7 linked regions of the Ovis aries genome follow. The protein of the gene in region 6 interacts with the protein of the main gene of each other region in a pairwise test. Links are inferred from orthologs where the notes say so. Each region holds a gene or a part of one and is shown on either strand. Other genes may lie near its edges.

What was found.
Region 1: the proteins of EMILIN1 (region 6) and ZC2HC1C interact in binary tests that used the Homo sapiens proteins (3 or more experiments, as listed by UniProt). The two-hybrid records come from large-scale screens. The link is inferred for Ovis aries from reciprocal best matches to the Homo sapiens genes EMILIN1 and ZC2HC1C.
Region 2: the proteins of EMILIN1 (region 6) and NMI interact in binary tests that used the Homo sapiens proteins (3 or more experiments, as listed by UniProt). The two-hybrid records come from large-scale screens. The link is inferred for Ovis aries from reciprocal best matches to the Homo sapiens genes EMILIN1 and NMI.
Region 3: the proteins of EMILIN1 (region 6) and BEX5 interact in binary tests that used the Homo sapiens proteins (3 or more experiments, as listed by UniProt). The two-hybrid records come from large-scale screens. The link is inferred for Ovis aries from reciprocal best matches to the Homo sapiens genes EMILIN1 and BEX5.
Region 4: the proteins of EMILIN1 (region 6) and IFT20 interact in binary tests that used the Homo sapiens proteins (3 or more experiments, as listed by UniProt). The two-hybrid records come from large-scale screens. The link is inferred for Ovis aries from reciprocal best matches to the Homo sapiens genes EMILIN1 and IFT20.
Region 5: the proteins of EMILIN1 (region 6) and BEX3 interact in binary tests that used the Homo sapiens proteins (3 or more experiments, as listed by UniProt). The two-hybrid records come from large-scale screens. The link is inferred for Ovis aries from reciprocal best matches to the Homo sapiens genes EMILIN1 and BEX3.
Region 7: the proteins of EMILIN1 (region 6) and PLAC9 interact in binary tests that used the Homo sapiens proteins (3 or more experiments, as listed by UniProt). The two-hybrid records come from large-scale screens. The link is inferred for Ovis aries from reciprocal best matches to the Homo sapiens genes EMILIN1 and PLAC9.

The regions. Positions count from the first base shown.
Region 1 is NC_056060.1:84,396,553-84,400,778, reverse strand, and holds the start of ZC2HC1C (zinc finger C2HC domain-containing protein 1C), read right to left. Parts: upstream 2,884-4,226; 5' UTR 2,236-2,883; intron 1,991-2,235; 5' UTR 1,972-1,990; coding exon 643-1,971; intron 1-642. Other genes in the region: ACYP1 (acylphosphatase-1), read left to right, coding at 3,151-3,316.
Region 2 is NC_056055.1:158,230,224-158,233,898, forward strand, and holds part of NMI (N-myc-interactor), read left to right. Parts: intron 1-2,406; coding exon 2,407-2,569; intron 2,570-3,675. UniProt on the Homo sapiens protein: Acts as a signaling pathway regulator involved in innate immune system response.
Region 3 is NC_056080.1:133,706,876-133,711,246, reverse strand, and holds BEX5 (protein BEX5), read left to right. Parts: upstream 1-1,465; 5' UTR 1,466-1,730; coding exon 1,731-1,781; intron 1,782-2,045; exon of another isoform or gene 2,046-2,208; intron 2,209-2,727; coding exon 2,728-2,794; intron 2,795-3,339; coding exon 3,340-3,707; 3' UTR 3,708-3,939; downstream 3,940-4,371.
Region 4 is NC_056064.1:19,762,869-19,767,343, reverse strand, and holds the start of IFT20 (intraflagellar transport protein 20 homolog), read left to right. Parts: upstream 1-1,619; 5' UTR 1,620-1,705; intron 1,706-4,475. UniProt on the Homo sapiens protein: Part of intraflagellar transport (IFT) particles involved in ciliary process assembly. May play a role in the trafficking of ciliary membrane proteins from the Golgi complex to the cilium.
Region 5 is NC_056080.1:128,929,578-128,932,964, reverse strand, and holds BEX3 (protein BEX3), read left to right. Parts: upstream 1-1,249; 5' UTR 1,250-1,324; intron 1,325-1,707; 5' UTR 1,708-1,785; intron 1,786-2,140; 5' UTR 2,141-2,168; coding exon 2,169-2,507; 3' UTR 2,508-2,757; downstream 2,758-3,387. UniProt on the Homo sapiens protein: May be a signaling adapter molecule involved in NGFR/p75NTR-mediated apoptosis induced by NGF. Plays a role in zinc-triggered neuronal death.
Region 6 is NC_056056.1:34,159,941-34,164,302, reverse strand, and holds the start of EMILIN1 (EMILIN-1), read right to left. Parts: upstream 2,938-4,362; 5' UTR 2,474-2,937; coding exon 2,304-2,473; intron 1,386-2,303; coding exon 1,236-1,385; intron 794-1,235; coding exon 567-793; intron 1-566. UniProt on the Homo sapiens protein: Involved in elastic and collagen fibers formation. It is required for EFEMP2 deposition into the extracellular matrix, and collagen network assembly and cross-linking via protein-lysine 6-oxidase/LOX activity.
Region 7 is NC_056078.1:34,359,740-34,364,150, forward strand, and holds the start of PLAC9 (placenta-specific protein 9), read right to left. Parts: upstream 2,958-4,411; 5' UTR 2,926-2,957; coding exon 2,862-2,925; intron 1-2,861.

The sequences.
Region 1 (4,226 bases), on a different chromosome or scaffold from region 6:
AATCAACTATACTCCAATAAAAATTATTAAAAAAATAAAGTCCTCCACCTTTAAGTTGTTTACGCTCTAAATGGGGAGAAAAAGAATTCCAAACTTAATCGTGCGTTTCATCTATTTACTAAGAAGGTATATCAAAATTAGCCAAACTGGAAAAATTAGAGTTCCAGGAGTGGTAACAAGTCCTAATTTGGGGTGATGGTAGAATATATTATAAAGAATGAGGAATTTTGTCAGGGTAGTGAAATGCTTCATGATATATATATATTTCATTCTCTTAAATTTTCTACTGTAAGTGTTTATTACTTATACAATCAAAACAACATATTTTTAAAGTCTAGATTTTGGAGTCATTCTGACCCAGATTTATATGCTGCCATTTAAAACTGTTTGTGATCTTAAGCAGCTTAACCTGAGACTTGATTATTGAACTGATAAGATAATGAAATCTTCACAGGGCTGTAGTGAGGAACATATGAAAACCTCCCATCACTGTGACTGGCACACAGTAGTAATCAATAAATCAAATGTGAATTCGTTCTCCCTGTAAGACACATGAAATCTTTCTAAAGAAAACAGATGAGGACATAACAGGCTCTTAAAAGTGATCCCCACTCAATGGCAAATCCATAAGGCCCTTGTTACCTTGACTGAAGCTGGACCCTTCCAGTTCAAGTACTGCTCTAGTTCTGTGCCCTTGGCCCGGGCCCTAGAGGAGTCAAACACTTTCCTCTTGGAACCCTGCATCCTGCGGCAGATGCTGGAGTGTCTCTCCAGCCTGAGCAAGAGAAACTTTCGGCCGCAGTGGCTGCACTCGCCCAGTTCTGGCTCTTCAGTGGAACAGCTGGAGCCTGAGGAGTCTGGTGCCCTGGATGAGCTAGAATTGCGGGTGTATCTCTGCAAAGCGCTCAGCGGTGCTTCTGTAGCTTGAGAAAACTTCTGCTTCAATGGCCTTGAGACTCGGTCTCGGATTTTGTTATTGCTTGCCACCAGTCTTTCCCTTTTGAGCTTCTGAATTCTATAATTAGAGAACTGGAATGGACTAGAATTCTCTCGAGATTGTCCCCAAGTTTCATCTTCTCCTGTGTCTCTGTTGAAGACCTCCTCAGACCTGAGTGCTGGAGAGAAGATAGGTTTGTATGCGGTGATGCTATTATCTTTAACTCTCCTCTGGGAGAGCACCATTCTCTGAAGCTCTCTTTTTTCATTTTCCTCAGCCTGTTCTTTTCCCTTCTGGATCCTTCTGAGTTCCTCCTCCGTCTTCTTCAGCTTTTCCCTCAGAAGAGTCTCTTTTCTGCGGATTTCCTCCCCTAAGCTCTCCCCTGCAGCTTCTAGTCTTTGGATTTGCATCCACTCCGTCCTGTTGGCATTTGCCATGACCCTTTCCTCCTGAGTGGCAGCAACTGGACCAACCATCGATGAATTCACCCAGTTCCTCGAACCAAAGCTACTGTACGAATACTTTCTGGGCTCAGGGATTCTTGGAGAGGCGTTCCGGTCTCCATCAGTGCCAGCCTCACCTGTACTATGGGACTTCCGATGAAACACAGGTTTCAGAGGGTATGCTCGGTCAACCCCCACTCGCTTCTTTGTCAAGGGGATGAATTCTTGGTCATTTGTTTTGGGATACCGGGACTGAGGGTCTGATGTGTAAAACAAACCCTTGGCTTGGCCCTGGGGATTGTTCCTTGAATCCTGCTGGCTCATTCCAGCACAGTGAGGATACGAACAGCTCTGGGCTTTTGTGCAGGTGTTCCACTTGGGGTGAGTGTAGAGATTATCCAGCATCAGTTCTTGGTTACTCAAAAGCTTCTGCTGGAAATTGTTCCTCGGGTGCCCTGTAGAGGACTGCTGGGAAGAGTCACCTTTTCCATAGGGGTCTTGCTTAGCTGAATGGAGCTCTGGAGCATCCCTTTTATTATGTGGGAGCATAACGCCCATAGGCAGAGGCAACGCCAACTGGAGACCAGCCATTCAGAGCCTGGACTGAAGCCTAGGGGAGATTTAAACCAGACACATGTGAGGAGTTTGTCTGAGGTTTACCTCCACTGTTAAAGTATAACTGTTTCTACATCTGCCTACCCACAATTCCCCTTAGACTTTTTAGGGACGCTGGTGCTGGGTCCACCAGAGCTTTCATTCAATAAGCATTTGGTGAATGCTTACTGTGTTCTGTGGGTGCTTATTAGGTTCTGAGGATAGAAAAAGGAGTGTGATACAGGTGTTCCTGCCACCTACCTTTCCTTTGTATCACTACCAGCCTCTGCCATACACAGTGACGCTTCCTCATACACAATAATACACTCCACAGCAGATGGAAAGAGCTATTGGATTGAAAGTCAGTTTTTAGGCCTGTGACACAGGACAAGCAGCTTCCCCTCGCTGGGGATTCGCCCAGAGTTACAGGACTGGAATTGAGGGGCCGTTGGACTGTGAGTTCAGCCCCATCATTTTATAGGCGAGAAAACTGCAGCCCATTGGTAAGTGACCGGCACAAAAACTCTCGGGGCTTCCCTCCTGCTGGAACCGTGCTTGATCCTAAAGAGCACAGAGCCGGCTCAGGGCATACAGCAGGTGCCTGGCTGCCAAACCCTCACGCAAGGACCACTCGATCCGGCCACCGCGGGTTTAGATCGGAACGCGGAAGTTGCGTTCTGTCCTGGAGGGTCACCCGGGACGTCCCCGACTTGTGACTCCGCTTCGGAGACAAGGCCTCGGCTCTTCAGTCCGTCGGCCCTTGGGAGATCGATGCGCTGACCCCATGCCTTCCCGCCCTTCCGCGTACCTGAGGCTCTTTTGGAGGCGGCTCCCGCTTAGGGGAAGCCACAGGACTCAAGCTTCCTCACCACACGCCCTCCAGCAGCCGCCGGCCGCGCAGGCGCTCTCAGAGGGCAGCTGTTATTCCCGTTGCCTGGAGACGGGGGCACGTGCGCGCGCCCACCCCCGCCCCGCCGCGAATTCCGCGGGGCGTGCGCAAGCGCAGTCCGCTCACCCGGGGCCGCCGGGGCCGCGGGCGCGGTCCAGCAGGGTCACTAGACTCGGTGTCCCGCCAACTCTGCAGCTCAGTCCAGCCCTGCCCTTGGGGAACGTGGGTAGGGGGTGGGAGAGGCTCTTCTGGGGCTCCATCAAAGAGCTTGTACTTTTCTCAGAGCGATGCTCTCCGATCCTGGGGTGTGCCCTTCTCTGGCAAAAAAAGGAGCGCCTAGATGCGCCCTCAGGTCATTCTGCCGCAAGATTCCGGTGTCGGCCCTCCTCTTAGCGGGAGTGGGCCTGCTGATCGCCTTTCTCGGCACGCTCGGCTGCTTGGTACCGGCCCCAGGTACGGCTGTCGACTCTGTCCATGCTTTTCCTCGCACATAGTTTGGAGCTTGCGTCAGATTTTAGCAACTCCGCTAGCTTTTGCTAGGCAGTCTCTTCCTGGGGAGGTTTTTGTAGCCAATCTCATTATTTTGATATAATGTTTTCCTTTCATGTGGTAACTCTGGCCCTGTCTTCTTAGGGCCCAAGAATGACTCAGACAAGTGTAATGATAATGAAGTTAACCACCAGATCCAAAATACTCAGTATAACCTGATTTCAACCCTAAAGATATCCCATAACTTGTTAACATCAGAAGAGAGTTTATTTGTCTTCATACTTCAGTTCATTTGTGCAAGCTGTTTGAAACAGGCAGCTTACTCTTTTTCCCTTGTAACTACTTACTTAAAAAGATTCATGCCCATGGAAAATAATATAGACAGCAGTGGTCGGTGTTACTACTTCAACATGTCATATTGCAGCTTTTACGTGTTATAAAGAAATTCCTTGGCGGTGCTCCAAAGCAGTCTTTTGATGCCTTGTTTTCCCTTCTACTTGTCTCTCAAGTGCCCTCTCTGTGTATGCATTTCCAGAGGTTTGTCACTCTTTTCAAGGTCCCAATTATCTCAGCATGGGGCTTGCCTGTCATCAACTCCCAAAGCTCCCCTCTAGCCTAGCAGAATTTCCCAGGGTGCCTCCTTCCATCTTGACTCCTTTCCATCTTGTTTCTGAGGAAAAAAAATCTTTGTCTTTCCTTGAGTTCTCTTGACTTAGTCCCTTTCAGTACCTTCCAGGAATTGACTCACCATACCCATCCATCTTGCTAACTTCAAGTTGTATCCATCCACACACTCTGGTTTTAAAATATGCTTAGCTTTGCCTTACAAAAAAAAACAAACAAACAAACTTCCTTTCCCTTGACCTCACCTCTC
Region 2 (3,675 bases), on a different chromosome or scaffold from region 6:
GTCATTTGTAAGACATTATGATCATTCATGTCACCACTGTTTTCCAAACTGAAAACAATCAACTCTCCCTCCATAGTAGAATGAATTTATAAATTGGGGTGTATTCACATAATGGAATACTGCACAGCAATGAAAATGAACAGGCAGTAACTATATACAATAATATGGATGAATTTCATAGACACAATGTTGAGCCAAAAGAGGAAAAAGAGGGCGTACCATATACTTTGACTTAAGTAGAGCACAAAAGCACAGTGTTAGAAGTTAGTATGGTGCTTACTGTTAGAGGCAGGTAGAAACTGGAAGGGAACCCCAGAGGGCTTCTGAGTCGTTGGTCTTGTTCTGATGATTGATCTGGGTGCTGGTCACAGGTGCATGATCCCTCCATAACATTTCATCTTGCTATAAATTATTGTGGGATGCCCTGGTGGCTCAGATGGTAAAGAGTCTGTCCGCAGTGCGGGAGACCTGAGTTCAGTCCCTGGGTCTGCAAGATCCTCTGGAGAAGGAAATGGCAACCTATTCCAGTATTCTTGCCTGGAGAATCCCACGGACGGAGGAGTCTGGTGGGCTACAGCCCATAGGGTCGCGAAGAGTCAGACATGACTGAGCGACTTTATATATTCACTCACTCACTCACACATTTATGCTAATGCATGTTTTAATATTCATTATACATTAATACAACACACACAGCCTCCCAGTGATGGTCATTATCAATCACTTTTGGATCAAAGTCTTGGTCTTCTCGCTAAATTTTTTCATTGCTCTCCTCATCCAAGTAATAATTTAAGTGTGTGTCACAGTTTAAAAAAAAAATTGGAAGAGTATCTTCACCATTTAAATTCTTTCTTAATTTTTCCTTTGTTTGAATTAGACAGCTCTCACTCCTTTTTTCTTCATCAAAATCCAGATTGTTAAAACACTTACTTTAAAGCATTATCACTTTTTATTTCTGAAGTTGGGGGTAGAGTGTTAAATATCAAAAGTGAGGTTTTTTTGTGTTTGTGAGCTTTAGAGAAGTCTCTGTTAAGATCCTGCATAATTTTTAGACCGGAGCTAGAATCACTTAATTCTACAACCCAAATGGGCCTTGGGAATCCAGCCAGCTCAATTGATCCACTTCACAGAGGACTGAAAACTGGGCTCTAGGGACCATGAGTGCATTGCTCCCTGCCATGGTGTACTCAGGACTAGAAGCAGGCATTCCCACTCTCACTGGGGAAAGCTCTTGACCCTTCTGTGTATACTGGATGTTTCTCTGTTATTGGGAAACACTGTCTTTTCACACTGCAGATTGTTTTGAAATCAGACTTATGGTAATCAGAAATTCTACCAAAGTGACATGTCAAATTGTAGAATAAATGTCAGATTAGACCAAATGACTCATTGGCTGTTTCTAATCTCTTCATGATAACACTTTTTCTTGCAACATGTAAAATAACCGTGAGAAATAGAGATGAAAACACCTGACTCATTTGTGCATTTCTGTGTGACTGTACTGTCTGTTCGGGGCTTCCCTGGCAGCTCAGTAGTAAAGAATCTGCCTACCAGTACAGGAGACATGGATTTGGTCCCTGGCTCGGGAAGATCCCCTGGAGAAGGAAATGCAACCTTCTCCAGTATTCTTGCTTGGGAAATCCCATGGGCAGAGGAGTCTGACAGGCTATAGTCCAAGGGGTTACAGAAAGAGTCAGACATCACTTAGAGGCTAAACAACAGAGACCTGTTCATCCTAGTGATTTTCAGCACCAAAGTATAACCACTTAACTTTATCGTCCAGATTTTTTTTTTTTTTAACAAATCTTGCTATTGGTGTCCCTTTACATTTTTATAAACCTAAGTTGTGGGAATGGTTAAAAGTTGATGGACAGGTGTTGAGGAAGGGGGAATTTAAATTTGATAAATTTTAAGGCACTGAACTGAATTTAGGAGTTTCTCTTTGGATGACATTACCTGAGTTTGCTGTCAAAATAGCTGCAGTATGCACCCACGTCTATTTCATACCTCTTTGCAATGAGACCAAAGATACTGTGCAGTGATTCCTTTGTGAAACAGCCTATTATTGGCATAGTTGTTTAGAAGATACTTTTCTGTAGGAATGATGTAGGCTTAAGAACCAAACAACACACAGTATTGACCAGTTTAAACACTGATTGATTAGAAAAAGTTAGAGACTATATACTTACAATTTCATCTGTGAAATAATATTAAAGGATCAGCATTTGACTAGATTACTGAGTATTTTTCTGGGAAGAAGCAATTACTAGTGATATTAAATCAGCGTTCTGTGGGGTTCTGAAGTCAGTGGAGAATGAATTATTGGATGATGAGATCACATTATCATTGGAAGGACTTAAGTTACTTCTTGTGTTGATTTTAATCAAACCTTTCTGTTTGAATTAGATTAATGAGGATATTCCTGAAACAAAGATAAAGTTCACATCTGTGGAGAATCCTGAGAGTGACAGTGAGTTTTCAGATATCTCCTATTCATGTCAAGTGAGCTCAAAAGTCCCTTATGAGCTGCAAAAAGGACAAGCACTTATTACCTTTGAAAAAGAAGAAGGTATGATTAATATTCAAAAACTTGACCATGTTACCTTTAGAAACACGGGGACTTCCAAAGAGTTTTTGTAGATATTTGGCCATTGCTTTAGAATTTTTATAGCATTTCGTCTTATCCTCATAGGGGTGCCCTGAAGTAGATAGGATTATTCCTGTTTTACAGACCAGAAAACAAGACTCTGAGATGTTGAGTGATTTGAACATGATCACTAGCACAGAATGTGAGTGCTCTAGAAATCAAACCCGTGTTGTGATGCCCAATACCAGCATTTTCACACTACTCCCGCTACCTGCCAATGATAATCCTAGTCATAATGTTTCAAAGTAGCAAAGCAGAGAGTTCTGACAGACATGAGCTCATTTTATACTCACGTGACTCTGTAAAAGTAATAAGATAGAGACACTGTTTACATCATTAAGAAACCAGATTCTCAGATGTTTCAGTGATTTACCTAAGTGCACAAGGCATGAGAATGAAAAGAGCTCTGGAGTCAAAGATTTGGCATGGGACCTGATGTTTGCCATGGTGTGGAACCCTCTTGAGAACTGGGGACACCTTAATGAGAATCTGGCTTTGAATGCCAGCTCTGCCTCTTCTTTTTTTAAACAAACCAAAACAGCACTTTCTTTATTTATTGACTGCGTCGGGTCTTGGTTGCATCACTTGGGATCTTTGTTGCGGTGCGTAGGCTTAGTTGCCCCGCGGCATGTGGGATCTTAGTTCCCCAGCAGGGCGTCCAACCCGTGTCCCCTGCAGTTGGAAGGCAGATTCTTAACCACTGGACCACCAGAGAAGTCCCAGTATTTTTATGTATTTGTTTGACTGCACCAGGTCTTGGTTGTGGCATATGGGATCTAGTTTCCTGACCGGAACCGACCCTGGGCTCCCTGCATTGGGAACAAAGAGCTGTAGCCACTGGACCACCAGGAAAGTCCCCAGCTTTGCCTCTTTACAGAAGTGTAGTTTGGGTTGGGTTCTTTATAAATCTCAAGTTTTTATGGCAGGCCTTGTAACAATGCCTACCTCATGGGGTTGCTTTGAATACTAAATGAGAAGCGTTGAAAAAATACTTAGCACAGTATCTGATACATAATAAACACTTAATA
Region 3 (4,371 bases), on a different chromosome or scaffold from region 6:
AGTGTTTCCCAAACTTATCTGATTTTATAAATTATCTGGGATACTTCTTAAAATACATACTCATATCCCAACCCAGACCTACTAAATTACAACTTCAAGAGGATTAACCTGTGTATCTGGGTGTTATTTTCATATCTAGGATGTCATCCAAAATGGGGCAGATTTGGAAAATCCTGGCAGATCAGGCTAAATAACAACAACCCTAAAAACTAAGATAAATAAATACAACAAAAAAAAATTTTTGCTGTTCAAATGAATTAAGTACAGTGTAGCCACACACAAAGATGTTCACTTAAAATGTACCTATATTAGAAATCTAAATAAGCATCAATAGGAAAACAAAAAATGAATTACAATACAATTATACAATGGAATACTATACTGCTGTAGAAATAAAGGACCTACATCTATATATATCAACATAATTGAATCTGAAAAAACTGATTTCTAGGAAAAGTAGGTGTGTAAGAAAAGTAGGCTGTTTGTGTATGTAAACATATCTATACGTAAATACGTATGTATATATACTCACATTTAAAGTACATAAAATAACTATGTATGTGTTTATATATATAAATGTATTTATTATATATATTTTCAAGCTATATATATTATAAAGCATGGATATATGCTATATTCTTTTAATTTAGTTTTATATGATTGCAACATTTAATAAATGAGTTTGAGTGAACTCCGGGAGTTGGTGATAGACAGGGAGGCCTGGCGTGCTGCGATTCAATGGGTCGCAAGGAGTCGGACACGACTGAGTGACTGAACTGAACTGAGGGTGCTATCTAGAGAGACTATATTTGTAGGATGATTCAACAGCAGAAACAGAATGGCAAGGTTTTACAACTTTAATCTTAGTTTTCAAATAAAAATAACTATTGTCTAATTACAACAACCAAAACATGAATGTATGCTGATGGGAAATAGAACAAAAACAATCACCCACCCCTTCAAAAAATAAACAGAAAGGAAAATAATTAGGGTGAAATCATTTTGTTGTTGTTTTTTTTTTTTAATGTTACCTCCTACCTATTTTCCAGACTTTCTAGACTCGCACCCCACTCCCCCAACACACCCTGTCCGGTTCCAGCCTGGGACAAAACCAACAAGACTGATGGGGGAAATTCTAGGCTTTACTTGCTTCAGAGTGGAAGGGAGAGAAGTGAACATTTCATAGTACAGAGGAAGAAGCAATTCTTTAAAAGCTCCAGCAGAAATCAGGAAAAACGCAAATACAAACGACCAAATATTATGACCGGTTTGGTGTCAAAGATGATAAATAGGAAAATGAATAGATAGATAAACAAACAATAAATAGTGGATGTGCAGTGCCCAGCGGTATAGTTGGGGAGAAAGTAGGACTGAGGCGAAAGGTGGCCACGCCCCCGCTCCCGCCCCCAGCTCGCTCTAGCTCCGCAGGTAGGAACCTTAAATGGGGATGTGAGCTCACAGTGACGCAGACCTAGAGCCCGCGCTTGAACTGGTCTCTCCCGTTGCAGTCCGTAGCCCTTTGCGGCTGTGCGCCGGCTCGCTGTTGCCTTAAGGTGGGCGAACTGTACCCAGAAAGGAGGAAGCCGTGGAAGCTGACCGCGATCCTCGGCAGGTTGGAGGGCGCTGACTGGGGAGGGGAGCGGGGGCCTGAGGGTAAAGACCAGAGCGAGGCCAGGACTGGATTCTCTCTACTGCTTCTCCGATGACCTCACGTTTGTTTGGTGCAAGAAATGGAGGACTTGGTGGGAGGAATTCAAGAGGCGCCAAGGGTTGAAGAATGGGTACGAGATAGTATCTCCTAAGAGCTGGGCGATTGGGCAATGTCTGGAAGAGAAGGACCGGGAAAGGAGACTGCGAGGAAACGACCTGATTGCTGCAGCGCGCCGGGAGGGGTGCGCAACCGGCGACCCTGGGTTGGGGGTGGCAGACTCTGCAGCGGGTCTAAGCCTCCGTTCCCGGTATTTCTTCACCTTCCTTCCATTTTGGAGCCGGAAATGGTGGCTGTGGGAACTCGAAGGAGTAGGGGAGGGGACTGGGCGGCTGCTGCAGAGGATAGAGACAGGGGTTAGGTGTGGGAAGCACGTCCCTTCTATGGAAGAGGCAATCGACTGCGTGTGCTACGGACTTCTGAACATAGGCCGGGAGCAGGAAACCGCTTCTGGTCGCTTCAGGTCGGTGTGAGTGTGGGCACTGCCTGCGGACGCTAGGGTAAGCCTGACAAAGCGCTGACGCCGCAGCGGGGACAGGTTTGCTATGCCCACGTTCCCTCTTTGCCCTTCGTCCATCTTGATGCATAAAATGGTGGGCAGTGGAAGAAGGGGGAGCTCCAGAAAGTCCCCGAAAGGTCCTGGCAGATAGCTACATTGAAATTATTTATAAATGAACCATGTAGCCACCCAGCAAGCTCTTAGGACTACCCCCGCCTCACAAGTTGTCCCTTTGCTTTCAAGAAATGGTAATTAGATGGCGGGGAAGGACCAGACAGTGGAGATGAGGGGCCTAAAGAAGAGGTTTGGAAATAATCAGCTTTGATTAGAATGTCTGTTTCTGGAAGACAGGGTCACAGGGAGTGAATAAAAGCCGTGAGAAGGGATAGAGGAGAAAGGGAAGGCAACAACACATTTCTAGCGGAGTCCTAAACCCACTAGACAGCTGGCGCCCCACCCCCGACGCTGGTCCTTTAATCAGAGTGATCAGTGCTGGCTGTTGTCGCATTTCTCTCTATAGGTCTTTAGGTCCGTTGGTGCAGCAGATTTCAAGGCTGAGAGAGGAAGACTGCTTCTGATCCCTGCAGGTATGGGAGGTGCCCGGGACTCTATTGTAGGGGTGCACAGGGCAGAATGGGGGGAATTCCAGCCCTCCTTGCCGGACTAAGTGCAGGAGAAACCTGGCCGAGACTGGGTCTGTGGCTGGTGACGGAAGAAGGGAGTAGAAGGGCAAGCTCTGGGTGCCCCCTGGACAACTTGTAAGGAGCTCTGGAGGCTAAGGCCTGGTCTTTCCACCATGGTCCTTCCCACCAGCCACTGGGAGCCAGGAGTGGAGGGGGGAAAGATTTTCAGGGAAAATGATGGGCTTTGGGGCAGGGCTGGATCTGGGGCTGGAGAATGAAATGGCAGCCCACTCCAGTACTCTTGCCTGGAAAATACCATGGATGGAGGAGCCTGGTAGGCTACAATCCGTGGGGTATCAAAGAGTCTGACACGACTGAGCGACTTCACTTTCTTTTCTTTGGATCTGGGGCGCCCCCTTAGAGGGCACACTGAAGTCTCTCAGGTGGTGAAACATTTGCGCACAGAGCTCTGAATCTTGTTATTACAAAGCATTCATTTCATCTCCTAGGAAGAAGAAGCGGGGAAAAATATCTCAAGATGGAAAAGGACCCCAAGGAAAGGAGAGAAGAGGAGCAGGCTCTGGTGCAGAATGAAGAAGCTTGTCCTATGGGAGGTGGTGAAGGCGCCAAGCCTAGAGAAAATGTTAGAGGGGATTGGGACCCACCTGCCCAGGATTTTAGAGAGGATATGCCTAATGGGCTTGTCAATAACATTGACATTATAGATGGGGATGCTGATGATATGGAGAGGTTCATGGAGGAGATGAGAGAGCTAAGGAGGAAAATTAGAGAGCTTCAGCTGAGGTACAGTCTGCGCATTCTTATTGGAGATCCTCCTCACCATGACCATCATGATGAATTTTGCCTTATGCCTTGAATGCTGAGGTTAATAATCATAAACCCCCTGCTTCACAAACTTGCATTTTCTTGATGTACCCTTTACTGTGAACCTTTTGTGTTCTGTCATTTTTCAGATTAGTGATTTCATTTTCACTTTTGACTTTAAAAGAATTTCTGTCAACTTGCAGAATAGCAGGGGAGATTTAATGAACTTGCATGAAAAGATGTCTATTACATATTGTAAAGCTAATAAAGCACTTCAAAAAGCAGTTAGTAGATATACTATCTCATTTTAAAGCATGCATTTTATATACATATATATATAGATAGATCTGAATGTGTCTTTTTATTTTCTTGATTAGCTGTTTTTTTATTTTCCCAAAATAATTATACATGTGTCAAAAAAAAAGAAAAGAAAAGAATCAAAGAACTTACCAATCAGATTATAAAGGGAATGGAAACAATAAATATTTGAGGTACAATTTAAAGACATAAATCTTATATTATCTCTGGATCTCTTATTTAGAAGCACAAACCTATTATAATCATTACAGATATGTTTCTTTAATATCAGCCTTGTTCAGTTGCCCAGTCATGTCTGACTCTTTGCAACCCCATGGACTGCAGCACACCAAGCCTCCCTGTCCTTCACCATCTCCCGAAGTTTGCCTAAGTTCATGTCCATTGCATCGGATGATGCC
Region 4 (4,475 bases), on a different chromosome or scaffold from region 6:
CCTCCTCTGTCCATGGGATTTTCAAGGCAAGAGTACTGGAGTGGGTTGCCATTTCCTTCTGCAAACACAGGAAATGCAGGTTCGATCCCTGGATCAGGATCATCCCCTGGAGAAGGAAATGGCAACCTGCTCCAGTGTTCTTGCCCCGGGAAATCCCATGGACAGAGGAGTCTGGGGGGCTACAGCCCCTGCGGTTGCAAAGTTGGACATGACTGAGTGACTGACCGTTCATCCTGGGAAGAATGTCCAAGGAAAGGCCAGGACAGGTGCTGTATGAAGTACTGAACTCCTTTGGTGGTTTGTCCAGTATGGATGAGATGAGCGCCCCGCCCCAGCAGACTGCCCAATCAGTAAGTTAAGCTTGAATGGTATGAGATAACTTTACCAAACTGCCCACCCGGAAGGAATAAATCCACCCCTTAACAGGTTTTAACAAGTTCTCTATGCATTTTGTGTCTAGCCCCAATTTCCCCACGATCAAAGAAAAGGAGCTCACCAAAGGTTAGGCGGCTGCCAACAAAGGAAGACAAATCCAAACTAATCTATTCTTTTCCAACAAAGCAATTGCTTTGAGCCCCTGGATGACGTCAGCTGAGATTCCAGTTGCTCAGATTCCGCCCAGGCCAATAGGTTCCAGGAATCCTGTGGCAGGTGACGCCCCAGAAGGTAATTCCAGTGAAAATGAAGTTTCCACTGAAAGCCTCAGAGCTCTTCCTTCCGGACTTTGTGTGTGGGTATTTGGGGATGCTAGGGGCCTATCTGTGTCACACTAGGCAAAGCGAATGGGAACCTAAGCGGAATAAAGGGCAAACAATCACGGCGGTGTTAGACGGTGGGGTCCTAAGGAAAGAAGGTCCCAGAAATTCGTCACACCAGGGATGGCGAGGGGAGGAGCCGATCTTGGTCAGAGAGGGCGGATCTAGCAGAAAATCCAAAGTGTAATTCTATTGCTACATCCAAAAGGTGTGGGCAAATTTATCCAGACCCAACCTCTCCATGCCAGTGTAGAGTCTTTCCCAATTCATACCCCTCCTCACTATTGAGAAACAGAGACCGGTTCTGACACCCATCCCCAGGGGAGGATTTGAGCTCTCCACCCCCACCCCTCTTTCGCCGTCCCACGCCTTTTCCCCAAGACCGCGTGGGGCTCTCTTTGCTCAGCCCAGGACCCAACCATCCCTTCCCCTAGGACATGGGCCGGCTAGGCTCTCACCCTCCCCGGTGGCGCCTCTCCTCTCAGCTGGATTGCAAGTCGACACCGTGCCGCCCCCGAACTGTGGCCGCTCGAGCTCCAGCAATCCCGGGCCGAAACTCGCATCCTCCACCCAAGGACTCCGCCCCAAGCCGGCGGGAGCCTGAGACGAGAAGGCAGGGCAGGCCCAGCATCCAATCAGGGCGGAGGGAGGGGCCCCTGAGAGTATTTTGCGCTGAGAGCATAGCTACTTCCGGCAGCCTTTCCGGCGCAAAGGCTCTGGGTCTCGTAGGCAGTTATCCTTCCTCTCAGGCCTCTGTTTCCCAGCAGGCCCTGCGGGCTTGATGGGTCTAAGTGCTTCGGGGTCGGGAAGTGACGTTGACGTAAACAGGTTCTGTCGCCGTGGCAGCAGCTGAGGCTGCTGGGCAGGGTGTCGGCGGCAGCCGACTGGAGAGAGGCGCTGACTTCCGACGTTAGCCTGGGTCGCCAGCGCTGTCGCTGCTGGGTGAACAGGTAGGCCGTGACCCCGGGTTGGCGGGCTTGGGGCAAGCCCGGGGTGAGATTAGCCTAACAGGCCCGTGCCCCGAGGAAAAGCAATCGCGGGGCGAAAGAAACGTGGTAATTCCGCCAGGCTCTGGGAGCGGTTTTACCCCCGGCTAGGGCCTGGAGCTTTACGCGCTGCTGCTCCCAACTATCTTAGGAGGAAACCGCGGCTCAGATTAAGTTCAAGGAGTTTACGTAGTGAAGACGCGAGCTCCACACCCAGGTCTTCCTAATTTTCCCCACACCCCACGGGTGGAGCCTGTTCGGAGCGCCCAGCGTGGTTCCGGGGAGACCCCCGGGGTGGGTTTGGAGGAGAACGCGTCACCCTCTCTTACTGGAGCTCAGTCCGGCTCTTGTGTCCGGTGTTCCTCAGATGCGCGTGTGGTGGGAGTTGGGAGAGAATCCGGTAGTCGGCTTTGAACCCTCTCCGCTTCTTCTCCGGTCTGACCCTTCTCATTCAACTATCCCTTCCAGCCGTGCAGCTGGCTCAGGCCAGGTACGCGGGAATCTTGCCTGACTCTTTTTCACTCCTCCCCAAACCCCTGCCTCAGTCATCCTTTGCTAAGTCCTATCAACTGGACTTACAAAACATCTCAAATCGGAACACTTCTTCAGCTCCAAGCCTTGGTTACTGAAATAGCCTGCTCTGTTTTCACAGTCATTCATACCACATACATTTGCTGAGTGCCAGTTTCTGTGTAGGTATCATGTTAGATGCTAGGGTAACAGCAATGAGCAAGATAGTTGTAGCTCCCTCCTCTTTCTTCCTCCAACCCATTCTCTATCCTGGGTCTTGGTGATCTCTCTAAAGGGCAGGTAGTCAGATAGACTATGCCACTCTGCTGAGAATCCACAGGCTGTCCGTTAAACGCTTATGAGAAAATCCAGGCTCGTTACTGCAGCTTTCAGAGCCCTCCGCCATCCAGCACTACCTAGCCTTCCCATCTCACCTCATCCCGTTTCTCTTTATCCCTTGCTCAGCCTTTCAGCCACACTAGCCTCTTGGCTCTTGTTACAGGTTCCATTTCTCATAGCCTCAGCATCTTCACAGGTGCTTTTCCTTCTGCCTAGAAATACCTCCTCCTCCCTTCACTTGACAAACTTCTGGACAGCCTTTAGTTCTCAGCATGTCACTTTTTCAGAAGACTTTTGTTTGCAGTTTTGGGGGGTAATTTTGTGTCCACATGAATTTTATCCTTCTGCTACAGCTTCATGTAGCACCGTGTGCTTTTCCTCATACTTTTATCATAATTTGTGATTATTTGTTTACTTCCTGCCCAGAGGTCGGGAACTGAAAGCACTGAAGCATTTTCTTCACTACTCTATCCTCGGGACAGTAGATGTTTGTGAATAAATGCAAGCTCTCTGGGAAGGGAGTGCGAATTGAAGCAGCTCTTTGTGCCCTCTGGTTATTTGAAGCAGTTTGTCTGGTTAGTTACTTGTGTGTGTGCTCAATTGTGTCTGACTCTTTTGCGGCCCCTGGACTGTAGCCCGTCAGGCTACTCTGTCCATGGAATTTTCTAGGCAAGAATACTGGAGTGGGTTGCCATTTCCTCCTCGAGGGGATCTTCCCAACCCAGGGATTGAACCTGTGTCTCCTGCATTGGCAGGTGGATTCTTTACCACTCACCTGGTAGGTGCTAAATGCTTAGACAAGCGGTCTTCAACCTTTTAGGCACCAGGGACCAGATTCATGGAAGACAGTTTTCCCATGGTCAGGGGGCAGAGGCAGGGCGGGGGTGATGATTTGGGGATGATTCAAGTGCATTACATTCATTGTGCACTTTATTTCTATTATTATTATATCAGCTCCACCTCAGATCATCAGGCATTAGATCCCGGAGGTTGGGGGCCCCTGACTTAGACTATATGTGTAAATAGGACAAATAGGAAGACAGATCTTTTTAAAAAGCCCAATTACAAGGGAACTCTGGATGATTAAAGTGTTTCAAAAGGAAGATGCTAGTTGACTTACTTGAATGGACTGCAGTGAGACCGAAGGCCCTGGGCCATACACAGCTAGACATGTGTTAGTTGGCCCACACAATGTTGGATGTGGGTTTTGGGTGTGTTTTTTTTTTAACTTAAAATTTTTGAATTAAAGGAGATACTGTTCTTTAAAAGTCAGATTGCATACATAAATCTGGATTTTTGGTCCTCTTGAAAGTCAGTTCTGGCAATAGTGGAACTTGATTCTTTTTAACCCTTGCTCTTTCTGTGGTATACCTACCCTGGCAAGTTGCTTCCAGAGTCACCCCATTCAGAACAGAACTGCTCTAACGTATCGGGAAGGGAAACAGGGGAGGCTGGGGAAGATGAGAGAGAAGGACTGGTGCAGGGCCAGGCTGTGGTAGCCTTTGGAACACTGGGGGTTTCCAAGTTGGTTTAGCAGCCAAGAGCTAGACCTCAGTAGCATTGCCTCCCTTTTTAGACAGGGCATGTGCCCTCTTATTTTTATTTTGTGTGTGTGTTTAAGCCAAAATGAGGGTGAGTTTTCAGTGTTTCCTTCCCAGAATTGAGGCATCCTTTGGACCAGGAATGCGAGGTGGCCTGGGAAGGGAGACGATAACTCTGCTGGTTCTCATCTACAGAAAAAAAAGACAAACATTAGCTTGGCCCACAGGGTATCTCTGCTCTGGCTCCACCCGGCTTTCCCTCTCCATCCTCTGTCCTTTCGACTTCTAGTCAGGAATAGGCCCTTCCAGTGGCCTTGTGCTCCTGTCCAGGCTGTTTCCTCTGC
Region 5 (3,387 bases), on a different chromosome or scaffold from region 6:
GGCCTCAGTACATATAGCTCTTTTGGTTCCTTGAACACAACCAACACTTACTATTTTTTAAATAATAATGCCATTTTCCTAAAGGCATCTCTATTTTGTAACCATGACTTTTAAAAATAGTTTTCAATTATTTCAAGTTGAAAAAATGAACGGTTACACTCAAGATAAGTTTCAAGTTTAATTGCTTCACATATCCCATGCCTATTTCTAATATTTTTTGGAAAAATTCACATTACAAAAAACATGTCTTTGGAACTAACTTTTACCAGTACTTAATTTCTGAGATCACTCTAAGGAAGTATGTGTAGGAGTGCTTTGCCAAGTTTGGAAAGGAAAGCAGAAAATAAATAGGCTCCCTTTTTTTTTTTTTAAAAAAAAAGAGCTCCTTTCCTCCAAAGACTGTGGTATCAAAAACATCACATAAATTTACATAAAATGGTCAAGGTCTGACAACTGGACTTCTACCTCAAGATTTACTTTACAGATCATTTTGAAAACAACAACTGTATTTAGGAAGATACTTGTATTTTTTCAAAAAAAGACTTCAAAATAAAATGTTTCCAAAATGTTGTGTGGTGGAGTCCAAAGAAAATATTTTCTGGGTAGTACAGGTGAACAAACAAATCAACAGGCTTTTTCTTCCTGCAGGATGAAGCATTTCTTTCAAAAATGAAACCTTGTAATTTTTAATTTTTTGATGGCATGCTGACTTTAAAAAAAAAGAAATAAAGAGAAATTACTAGGAAGGATATATACAACCCATTCTACCTTCTCGCCTGTCTGACAAGTTTCTTGCTCCCTCCCCACCCTAACCTTCAACCTAAATGTCCTAGAAGATGAATTCAGGGCACTTGGTGGGCAATGGTGGGGCGGGGTCGGGGTGGGGAAAGACTGGTCTGTGAGAAGAGGAAAGAGAGCAGAAAAAGGCAAGGCCAAGGCCTTAGGGGCGGAGATGGGGTAGAGGGTGTTGTAGACCTTCCCTTATAACCAGAGAATGGCAAACTCTAACCGCAGCGAGGTGATGCCACTCGTGGGCAGTCAGATTGGAGAAGAGCGAGATGATTGATGGACGGGGAGGTGCGCGCTGTGGCCCAGCGCACAAACAGGCGGTTGTCCGCGCCTGTGCACGAGGCGGAAGTGGGGCGCTCCTGCTGCACTGGCCGCCGGAGTTGGGGGCGAGCTCGGCGGTGACGTGAGATGCTCACGTGATCGCGAGCTGCAGAGCGACGCAGCCTTCGGTGCAGTCGTCACTCCTGTCTGGGTACCAGCTCCCCGCTCCCCTGCGCACGGCGGCTTGGCATCGGGCCCGCGGCAAGCGGAGCAGGTAAGAGCCCCGGGGCCGCGCGCTGACGCCAGGGAGGCAGCTGCCAGCCAACCCCAGAGGCCGGCACAGGGGTTCAGCGCGACGAGCCCCGGCAAGCCCTCTGCACACCCTGGCTTTCCTGGGAACAGAAATAGTGGCCCCCTGGGGTGGGGGTGCAGGGGGGCAGGGTTCCAGGGAAGGCAGGAAAGCAACTCAGAGCGATGGGAGATCATCCCTGAATCACCTGGAGCGGGGCGGGGATGGGGGCCCCTGAGGGTGGGGGCGGGGGGCTCGGGGCGGCTAGGCGCGGAAAGGGGGGCTGGTGGGAGTCGGGGACGCGGGGTCGGGAAGGCGCCGAGCGCCCGGCTGCAGCAGCCTCCTGCCCCCACCCTGGCCCGTTGCAGGTCTGCCGAACTAAGTGTGGCGGCGGCGCACTCGTGGCGAGGATCGGAAGGAGCAAGAGACAGCGAGGATAGGCCCAGGTCAGTGCCGGGAATAGTGCAGGGGAGAAAGGGGACTGGTGCACAGCCCAGCCTGAGATCCCTTGCTAACTTCCCCAGACCCCATGCCCCGTCCTCCATTTTAGGGCCTGCTGCGCTCTGGGAAAGAATCCTGGGAAAAGAAAAATGGTGGGCTTTGGGTTTGAGGGAGGGAGGGAAAAGGAGAGCGCAGGGAAAGAGGTCAAATTGAAGGCTCCCCAGAAAGCGCACGAAGCACCTGAGGTGGGGGAAAAATTTTTTTTCTTTGAATCTTTACTATCAGGACTCTGAATCCTGCTGGTCAGTGCACCAAGCATTCAGTGTCTCTCCTTGCCTTTGTCTTACTTGTTGTTCAAAGAAAAATAACCGGGGGAAAAAATCTCATCATGGCTAATATCCACCAGGAAAACGAAGAAATGGAGCAACCCGTGCAGAACGGAGAGGAAGACCGCCCTTTGGGAGGGGGCGAAGGCCACCAGCCAGAAAGAAATCATAGACGGGGACAGGCTCGCCGACTTGCCCCTAATTTCCGATGGGTTATACCCAATAGACAGGTCAATGATGGGATGGGTGGAGAGGGAGACGATATGGAAGTATTCATGGAGGAGATGAGAGAAATCAGGAGAAAACTTAGGGAGCTGCAGTTGAGGAATTGTCTGCGTATCCTTATGGGGGAGCTCTCTAATCACCATGACCATCATGACGAATTTTGCCTTATGCCTTGATTCCTGCCATTTCCATGAGATTAATACTGTGATTTCCACTGTTGTTCTGTTTTTCCTTGCATTTTCCTGATATTGCCTTTACTGATCCGTTTGCTGTGAACCTTATGTAATTTCAGTGTGTCAGGTGGGTTCTGTGTTACCAGCTTCTAATTGCAGATTGCCTTGGCATCCAATCTAAGTTTCTGTCAACTGTAAAGTTTCACCCATTTGCATGGAAAAATGTAAAGTTAATAAAGTAATTAAAAAGCAATCTATACATTTATTATTGTCTGATTAAAGAAAAAATACATGAACCCTTCAAAAATCTGAAATCATATATCCCAGGATGGCAATTGGAGCACATTTCTCTGTGGTTGGATACTACATGACTTTTTTTCATTTATTATCTGGGATTTTAGAAGCAACAGTTTTTCAATGAGTCTGTGAATGAACATAATTACTGGTTCAGCAAACTTAAAGAAAAGTGAACTTTAAGTATCTTCCAGCCTTAACTGGAAGTAAACCCTCCCTTTATTACAGATACATTCCTGTAAAGAGTCAGTCTTCTCTTCTGTGAAATGGGATAAATAATGTCTGCCTTAGAGGGCTGCCAAATGGAACACATGAGGTGTGAAACTGTTGGCCTGCCTCCTATGCAACTCCCCAGCATTTAACAGGACCCTGGCTCTCATCAGATCCTTGGGCAGTGCTAAGGGGAGTTTTCACCCAGGCTCACAAGAGGAAGAATAGGTGGGTTCCACTCTGTCAATCCAGTCATATTTGCAGTACCCCTACCTCCCTGATTACTGCCATGTCAGTTGGTCTCCCTTCTGCTGACTCCTATTTCAGTTCATGTTGATGATGTGCTGAAGTCCACAAGGTAACAAAAACCCAATGATCC
Region 6 (4,362 bases):
CAGCAGTTCCTGTTTCCATAATTACAGCACGGCTATCTCCCTGGCAGGCAACACAACACATCTGCAGTGCTGGGCAACGGGGACTGCTGCATTCTGGGACCTGCAGTCTCTAGAGGCCACTGGGGCACCTGGGACCTGTAGTCAGCTGCAGTGCATGCTAGGACTTGTAGTCCCAAGTGTCTATCCCCTTGGACCAAGCTTGTCCAAGGAATTCCCCGTTCCTCCCGCAGCTGTTCCCAACTAGGAAGTATCTCGGCCACACGTGGGCGTGTGCGAGCACATTCTCTTTCTCTGCCTTCCTTTTCTCTGGGTCTCACTCAATCTCTCTTCTCTCACACACTCACACACACATACACACAACCCCCACACAGACATTCTCTCGGTCTCTTGCTCTCAAGTGTGGAAAGGGACCTCAGGGATCTCATTAACTATCTTTTGTTCTGTGCACTCCTCCACTCCTCAGCCCCCAGCCCTGACCTGGAGCAGGGGTCTCCCCATAGCAGCCTGGCTCCATGCTTTTCCCCAGCATTGTCCCCATTCCTCTCCCCAGCAACTCCCATACTCACCTTCCCCTCCCAGTCCACTCAGATGGCTGCCCGCACTGGAGCCGGAGAGGTTGGGGCGGGCCGGCTGGGGCTGGGGCCGGGGCCGCGGGGTGGTGGGTGCGGAGCCCAGCGCCGGGGCAGGGCCCTCTGCACAGTCATCGCCCCCGTACCCCTGGCAGCACCTCCATTCCATATCTGTCACCGTTTTGTAGGCCACGCGGTAGCGAGGGCGGAGGAAGCTGCGGTACCTGGGAGAGGCAGAGGGAGGCCCCCTTACTCCTCCTGCACCATCAGTGATGCTGGCCCCTGTCCTCAGAGATGGGCCGCTGTTCGTGGGCTAGGTCTGTCCCTCAGGCTGGGTCCCCCTTACTGGCCAGCATGTGGCCTTGCTCAGTTGACAGTTGTCAGCCAGTTGGCCGAAGGCCAATCCCTGTTCTTCCTCCCCTTGTTCTGTGCTGGAGCTTTGAACTCCTCTCCTTGAATGTGGCCAGGCCCAGAAGACACATTCCCAAGGCTGGCAGGGTGGTCCAAGTGAGTGTGCCCTCAGTATCACACCAGCCAAAGAGTTGCCTCAGCATCTCCTCAAATGGCTCTCAGCGAAGCCCCTGGTCCTGCCCCTGGCTACCTGCTTTGTACAAATCCCCCAGGTTGGCAGCCCTGGCCCCGCCCCCACCAAGTACCCATCCTCACATGATGCTGCGGGAACACTGGGGCTGGCCCCAGCCACAGGGCTGGTAGTCGGGCTTGACGAAAGTCTCCACTCCATCCTCAAGGACACAGCTGACTGTCCGGGTCACCACATAGGCACACCAGTTCCTGCAGGCACAATCCCACCTGGGTCTGAGGGCCAGAGACACACATTCCGTGGGGAGGCCTAGGGGCTACCAGAGGGGCTGAGGGAGGGTCACAAGATGAAGGGCCTCTGGGGACCAGGGGGAGCTAGGGCTTTGGCAGGGACAGCTCCTCACCCCACCCCACCCCCCACGCCTTCCCGTGTAGTAGGAGGCAATAAAGACTTTTCAAGATGGGAACAGGAGGCCCAGAAAGTAAAACCACAACTACGGGATGTTGATCCTCATGGCTGGGCTGCCTGGGGAGCATCTGAATTCACGCATTCATTCATGTCCCTTTCTGTCTCAACCCCCAGCTTGGCGTGGCCTGTGTGAGCTGGCTGGCCAGGTTCCCTGGTGAACCCCTGGCTTCTCCTCACCCTTCAGGGGAGTGGTCAGAGCAGGCAGGGGTCCAGCTCAGGGTTAAGGAGAGAATAAGCCATTGATGAGCCCTGCCCGCCCTGGGGCTTTCAGTTCTACACTCTTGGCCCCCCACTCCCCCACCCCCGACCGGCCTCCACTCCGTGTCCGCTGGAGAAAGGAAAGGAGCAGAGAAGTGATGTGGGAAGCGTGGGTTTCTGCATGGGGCTGAGGGGGCCCTAGCATGGGATGAAAGGTCTGCCGAGACTCCCAGGCTGGTGTGGGCTGGCAGTGACAGGAAGGCCTGGCCCGTGGCCCTCAGGATAGCTTCCCTGGGCACCTAACGTGGAAGTGATTACTCCTGAGGTTAGATGGGGTAGGGGGGTGCCTATCTACTCCAGGGGGCCCTGAAGGAAGGCGGGCATGTGAAGAGCCACCTGGTGGCTGGGTTTCCTCTTACCCCGTCCTTTGCCCCAGTGGACAGCTCAGAAGAACGTACCCGGGGCAGGGGCCAGGACACCCACCCTCCCACCTACCTCCAGCCTTGGGCTAAGACCCAGACTCCTACCTGTGGCGGCTGGCAGGTCGGGGGGCACTCTGGGCCTGGGTGCCCCCAGAGCTGAGGGCCCCGCCACTCCCAGTGTAGAGGCTGTAGCCGCGAGGCGGGTAGCTGGCTGCCCCCACGGCGGTGGTCAGCAGGCAGCAGAGGTAGCAGCTCCAGAGGGTTCCGGGGGCCATGGTGGGGGCGCTCTGCGGCGGCCCTCAGAGGCACATCCTGGCCTGACCACTGGCGCCTCTGCCTGGAGCGAGGGTTGGGGGGATGCCGCTGCTCTGAGGGACAGCAGGTCCTGTCCCCAGCTTCCTGCTGGCAGCCCCCAGCCACACACCTCCTCCTTGGCTGCCTGGCCTGACCCCTCTCCCCCTCCTCTTTCCTCCTCAGGCTCCTGTCTGTCCCTCCTTCGATTCCTTCCGCTCTCCTCTTCTCCACTTCTGAGGGGAGTTTGTTCTCTGTGCCCCCCCTACACACAGCCCAGCCTCCTGCGCCTGGTCCCTGGCCCTCTCAGATGCTGCCTCCTGGGCCTCCACCCCCTCGCTCCATCTGGCCCTCCTCTGGTCTCCGCTGTCGGTTTTCCCCAGTGACCAGATCCTGGGGGTGACAGGGCTTTGCCCCTGTGGCTGCTCAGAGGCGCAAGAGTGGCTGTGGGGCGGGCCCTGGCCTCCCGCCTCTCTCTCCCTCACTCCCCTCCCTTCCCCCCCTGTCTGGCTGGCGGTCCAGCCTCCCCCTTCCTCCCCCCACCTCTCCAACCATCGTGCGCCACATCTGCTTCTTGTTAACTCCGGGAAAGAGAGAGAGAAAAAAAAAGGAAAAACAGAGAAATGTGGAGTTGCCGCCGGGCTTGGGGCCAGCCTCTCAGACAGGCCACATGGAGCGGAGCCGGGGCCAGAGCTGGGGAGGAGGCTCAGGGCTGGTCACTTAGACAGGGAACGGGAGCTGGAACCACAGCTCTCCTGGGGCCAGGGCAGGACCCCCGCCTCCCCCCTCCCGGGAGAGGAGCCCTAGGAGAGGTGGAGAGGAGAGCCGTAAAAGGGAGAATGAACTTGCAGGGGCTCAGCAGAACTGCCACTCACCATCTAGTCCAGCTGCCTCCTTTTATAGATGTGACAACTGAGGCCCAGAGTGGGAAAGTAACTTGTCCAAGGTAACACCGCAAATCAAGAGCATAGCTCAGATTAGAATCTAAATAGTACCCAGGTCAGTAGCTTGGGAGGAAAGAGGAGGAGAGGAGCAAAAGCTACTGGACCAGGGAGCAAAATGAGGACTCCACTGAGGCTGGCAGGAAATTCAGAGAAGCCAGAGGAAGAAAGGAGTCCGGCAATGGAGAGCAACTTCTGTCAAGCATGGAGAGGACATGGGCAGGAGGAGAAAGACTTCATTCTCCAAAGGCCAAGTGATCATGGGCGTCAGGCTTGTCTTGGTGAAAGCCATGAGTGGGGGAGGGGAGGCAGGGAGATGAGTTGGGCCCTATCTGTTTAGCCTAAAGGAAGTCACTCCCTACTCCAGAGCCAAGTCTGATAGCCTCTGAGGCAGGCAAGGAAGTTGACTCAACCACCAGCCTGTCTGGTAGGCTCCTCGTGAGATGTCCGAATCTGTCAGCTGGCCCCCCTCACCATCTGGCCCTCAGCATTGGGTTCTGTCCAGGTCTCCCTGCGTGGTGGGCCACTTGGGAGACAGAGGCAGAAGTACTAAACTGAAATCAGGCGAGAGTGCGGGGTGTGGGTGCTGACGAGGTGCCCAGGGAGCAAAGGCCCACGAAGGACTCAGTAAGGAGCAGCTGGTCCTGTTGGTGGACAGGACACAAGAGAGAATGAACACAGGCCAGACGGACAGAAGGCCAGGGGGCCAGACAGATGGATGCTGTGCTCCGGTTAAGAGGAGGAGAAAGACAGCTGACTGCTGCGGGGAGTCAGAGAAGAGCTGTTGGAAGAAAGAGAACCTGATCCGTGTTGGAGGGAAAAGTGAACCAGAGACAAGGGGAGGGGAGAGACTTCAGGTTGGCAAAAGCGCTCTGTCTCAGTTTCCTCATCTGTAACATGGGAATCATAGTACTCTCCTCCTTCTTCATTTT
Region 7 (4,411 bases), on a different chromosome or scaffold from region 6:
GGGGATCTTCCTGATCCAGGAGACTTCAGTCTCCTGCATTGGCAGGCAGGTTCTTTACCACTAGTGCCACCTGGGAAGATGTCTCAACATAGCTCGAGCATCTTCTTTCACCCAAAGCAAAAAAGCAGAATCCCAATGGAAGACAGTCCACAGGGACCTGGAGTGACGGTGGATTCCTGTAGGCCCCGAGGCATGGATGAGAATGGCTAAATAGCAAAACAGAAAAGGACCTCAGCTGAAGTCTTAACTTAAAAAAAAAAAAATTCTCTACAAATAACACAGAACAGTCTATTTCACTCAACACATAAAAGACTTTATAGAGCAATATGAAAAATCCTAATACCACAATTGAAAAGGTCAAGACAATTCACAAGAATTAGACATGACCAATATTCTTTAAAAATATATATATATATCCAACCTTGGCAGTAATCAAAGAAGTGAAAATTAAAGCAATAAATCATCTTAAAGTATTCTCACAAAAAAAGTCTACTTGGAATTATACGATGCTTCTAGATCTAATTACCAGTTTATAGACAATACAGGGAAAAGAAGAACATTTAAATGACATACAGAAGATGCACTCAGCTAAAATTTAAATGTGAAAAGCCATAGGGCCAGCAACGTAGTTTCTTTACCAAATACATTTTAAGAAAAAAGAAAAGAACCTTCTAAAGAAACTTAAAACTTACTACAAGAAACTTAATGGACATATCAACCAAAACCCAAATGTATCCACCTTATTTGAATCAAACAGACCAAATATAAAACATGACACAATTAGGGACATGAATACTGACTAGACATTTGATGATATTAAGGAGTTATTGTTCATTTTTAGGGGTGACAGTGGTATTTTAGTTACTAAAAGATTATTGATGCTTTAATAATATATAAGGTAGTACTTATAGATGAAAATATTTAGTGCCTGGAGTTTCCTGTAATCTGAGGGAGGGGAGAGAAGGTGGATTAGACGAATTAAGATGTCAGGAATCCATGGAGGTTCCTTACACCATTCTGTGTGTATAGCCAAAAGATTTGATAATCAACAGTTAAAAAAAAAATGGTATAATTGTCTGAAGTCTGAAAGGTTATGTAAAACAATGTTTGAACACAATGTGAAATTACATAAATACATTTATACTTTCTTCTTTCTATTTTTCTTAATCTGAAGCAATGAGCATGACCAGGAAGAAAATAATGTTTAAAATGGCTTTAAGACAAAACGTATGTACCACTCATAGCTAAGGGGCCACAGAAGGTCAGCCACTGTGGGCAGTGGCCAGCTCCTCCCTCTGGGGGAGCACAGACTTGGCTTTGTCCCCTCAGCTCCTGGAGGTGGGACTCTGCAAAGAGGGGGCAGGCAGTGGGCCAGGGAAGTAGGGGGTGGGTGGATGGCACTGTGGGCCGGACTCTATGCTGGGTGGTCTCAGCCACTCCTCACTCAGCCTGTGAGGAAGGGGTTGTTGGCCCTCCTTTGCCAGCCTCAGTGGAGAAGCTGGCTCAGGGAGGTCAGCGGAGCTGTCTGAGGGCGCGAGGGAAGGAGCCAGTGTGTGTCGACAGGTGTTCTGCGCTGGGCACTTCCCTTTGCTCCAGTTCTCTGGGTGGCTACCATTCTCCCCAACTTACAGAAGAGGAAATAGCTTCAGAGAGGTGACATGACTCACCCAAGGCCACTCAGCCGGGGGCTGGCCAGGAGCAGGACTGGCCTCAGCCCTTTCCCTGGTGCTCCCGGTTCCCTGCCAGGGGAGCTTCCACCCTAACACGGGGCACTTCCACCAGCTCCAGGTGGATGGGGGAGCAGCCTGACACAGGGCAAGGGTGTGGCTGAGGGGGCGGGAGAGCTGCATGCCTGGGCAGACTGGGCCTTCCCCTCACCTGTACAGCTGTGAGCATCAGCCGTCTCTGGTTGAGGTTGGCAAGAGAGCTTGGGTAAATGTCAACTGTAAAGTTCTACACAGAGTGCAGAGTCTTGGGGTGGTGGAAGGAACACCTATGCGTATGGGACAGTTGGTCCTGCAGCCTTCCTGTCCGAGCCTCACCTGCAAGGGGACAGCTCTAAGGCTGCTGTCAGGGGAGCTAGAGGGGATAAAGCACGGCAAGGAACCCAGCCGGGAGCACCCAGAGGGCCTCTCTTTCCTGCGGCCTCCTCCCCACCCACCCAAGGCTGCTCAGGCCCTCTGGGAAAGCTCTCTGAAAGGCTGACAACTGGCCTCCTCTCCTCTACTGCAGGACCTCCTCAGACTACCAGGCAGGTGAAGCCGAGACCTCCAGGGGCCGCCTGCCTGGCCCCTACCAGCTGGGCCGGACCAGACCGGGGTCATCTGCCTGTTGGAGCTCAGCATCCCAGTGAATTCCCCAGGAAAGGAGGCCTGGGTGCTTCGCAGGCCCGCCCCACCCCGCAGACCTCACGGTTCACCTCCGGACCCTGGCCCCCTCCTCCCTCTCCTCCCCACCCGGGGCACTGGGTTTCTCCACCCTCTCTCCTTTTTCTGTTTCTTTCGGATCTCCCTCTCTTGCCATTTTAGTTCCTCTGTTTCTTTCCCACTAAACTCCTTTTGCTGTCCTCATTCATAGTTCACACCCATCTGTTTACCTCCGAAATCTTTCTGTCCCAGCCCCTCCCTTTCCCTCTTATTCGTTCCGTTTTCCATGTTCCTCTGCCTCTCTCTCTCTGCCTTTTTCTGTTTCGTCTTTCCTTTCTCTCTCCCCATCGCTCTCTCTCCCTCCCTTTATCTCCCTCTTTCTCCATCTCTCTCTCTCTCCGTCTGGCTCCGTCCCCATCTCCCTCCCTCTCTTCTGCTCCTTCCTCGCGGTCCGCGGACTCCCTAGCCCTCGCCCCGCTCCCGGGCCCCACTCACCGGCGAAGGCGCCCGGGGCGCGGAGCAGGGCGAGCCCGGCCAGTGCGCAGAGCAGGGGCCGCATGCTGCCGGCCGGCGGAGCGCAGCGCCGCTTCTGCCTGCGGCCGCGCTCCCCGCCCTCCCCGGGATCGCGCCGGCCCGCCTGGGAGGAAATGCTCGCAGTTTCAGCCAAGATTCCTGGGCGGCTCCGGGCTTTCTGGCTCCAGCGAGCCCGCCCCCTCCAGAGACCCCGCGAGCGGAGGGGCGATGTGCCAGGCTGGGCGTCTCCCCAGGAAGGGGCCGCGCTCTGAGCCCCCCGCGCCTCCCCCTGGGCCCGAGCACAGAACAGAGGATGATGGAACCGGGGGCCCAGTGATCCGTTATGAGCCCATTTCACAGACCAGCAAGTTGCAGTTTCCAGAAGGGCCACCCACGCCTGTGGCACAGGATCTGAATCCCTAACTTCACGGAGTAATCAGCTCTGATGACATCAGATAGTGCCGCTCTGAGAGGGAGGCTCAGAAACGGAGGGTCTGTCTTCCACAGAAATTTTGTCCTTCTAAAGGAGTAACAGTATTGTTAAACGATACTTTCCAAAGGAATATAGTGGGTTTGTTATTGATCCGGGTTCTTAAATAGAAATTGATGGGGACTTCCCTGGTGGTCTGGTGGTTAAGAATCCACCTTGCAATGAAGGAACCTGAGTTTGATCCCTGTTCAGGGAACTAAGATCCCACACGCTGAGGAGCAACCAAGTCTGTATGCCACAGCTGCTGAGCCCTAACGCCACAAGTCGAGAGTCCCTTTGCCCCAATGGAAGATCCCACATGACGGCAACCAAATAAATTTAAAAAAAGAAATTGATAAAATGCCACATCAGGCAGGGCCTTATTGGATCTCTTACTTAAGCACGCCAAATAATAGGTATGGGTGCCCTTGCTTGCTCCCTGGGGGAGGGGGTGAGCTGGTCCCTAAATGGCTCCAGGGTTGGGGTGGATGTGCCTGGGCTGGAGGGGTATGTTTAGGAGGTCTGCCCACTCTCTTGGTGTGGTGAATAGTACCTTGCTTTTGTTTCTGAACCCTCAGAAGTGGCAGTTGGGTTTTTGGTCTTTTTGTATCTTCTTGTTTCTAGTTTGTACAACCATGCAGCTACTTTTAGTCCCCTATAGTTTCTTTGTATTTCGTTGCTGGAGAAAACAGTTTGTCCAGGAGCAAGCACTGCAGCAAAGGGTCCCAAGTCCCAGCCTGTCTCAGGTTGAGGTGTACTAACATAGAATGATCTCTAAAATTTGATGAGATGAGCATGAAAATAAAAGCATGAAAGTAAAAATCCCCAAATATAGGCTTCGCTGATGGCTCAGCTGGTAAAGAATTTGCGTGTAATGTGGGAGACCTGGATTCAATCCCTGGGGTGGGAAGATCTCCTGGAGAAGGGAACATCTACCCACTCCAGTATTCTGGCCTATACAGTCCACGGGATTGCAAAAAGTTGTACAGGACTGAGTGACTTTCACTTTCCATATATTATTCAGTTCCATGCAGTTCCATGTATACACATTTTGTCTGAATTT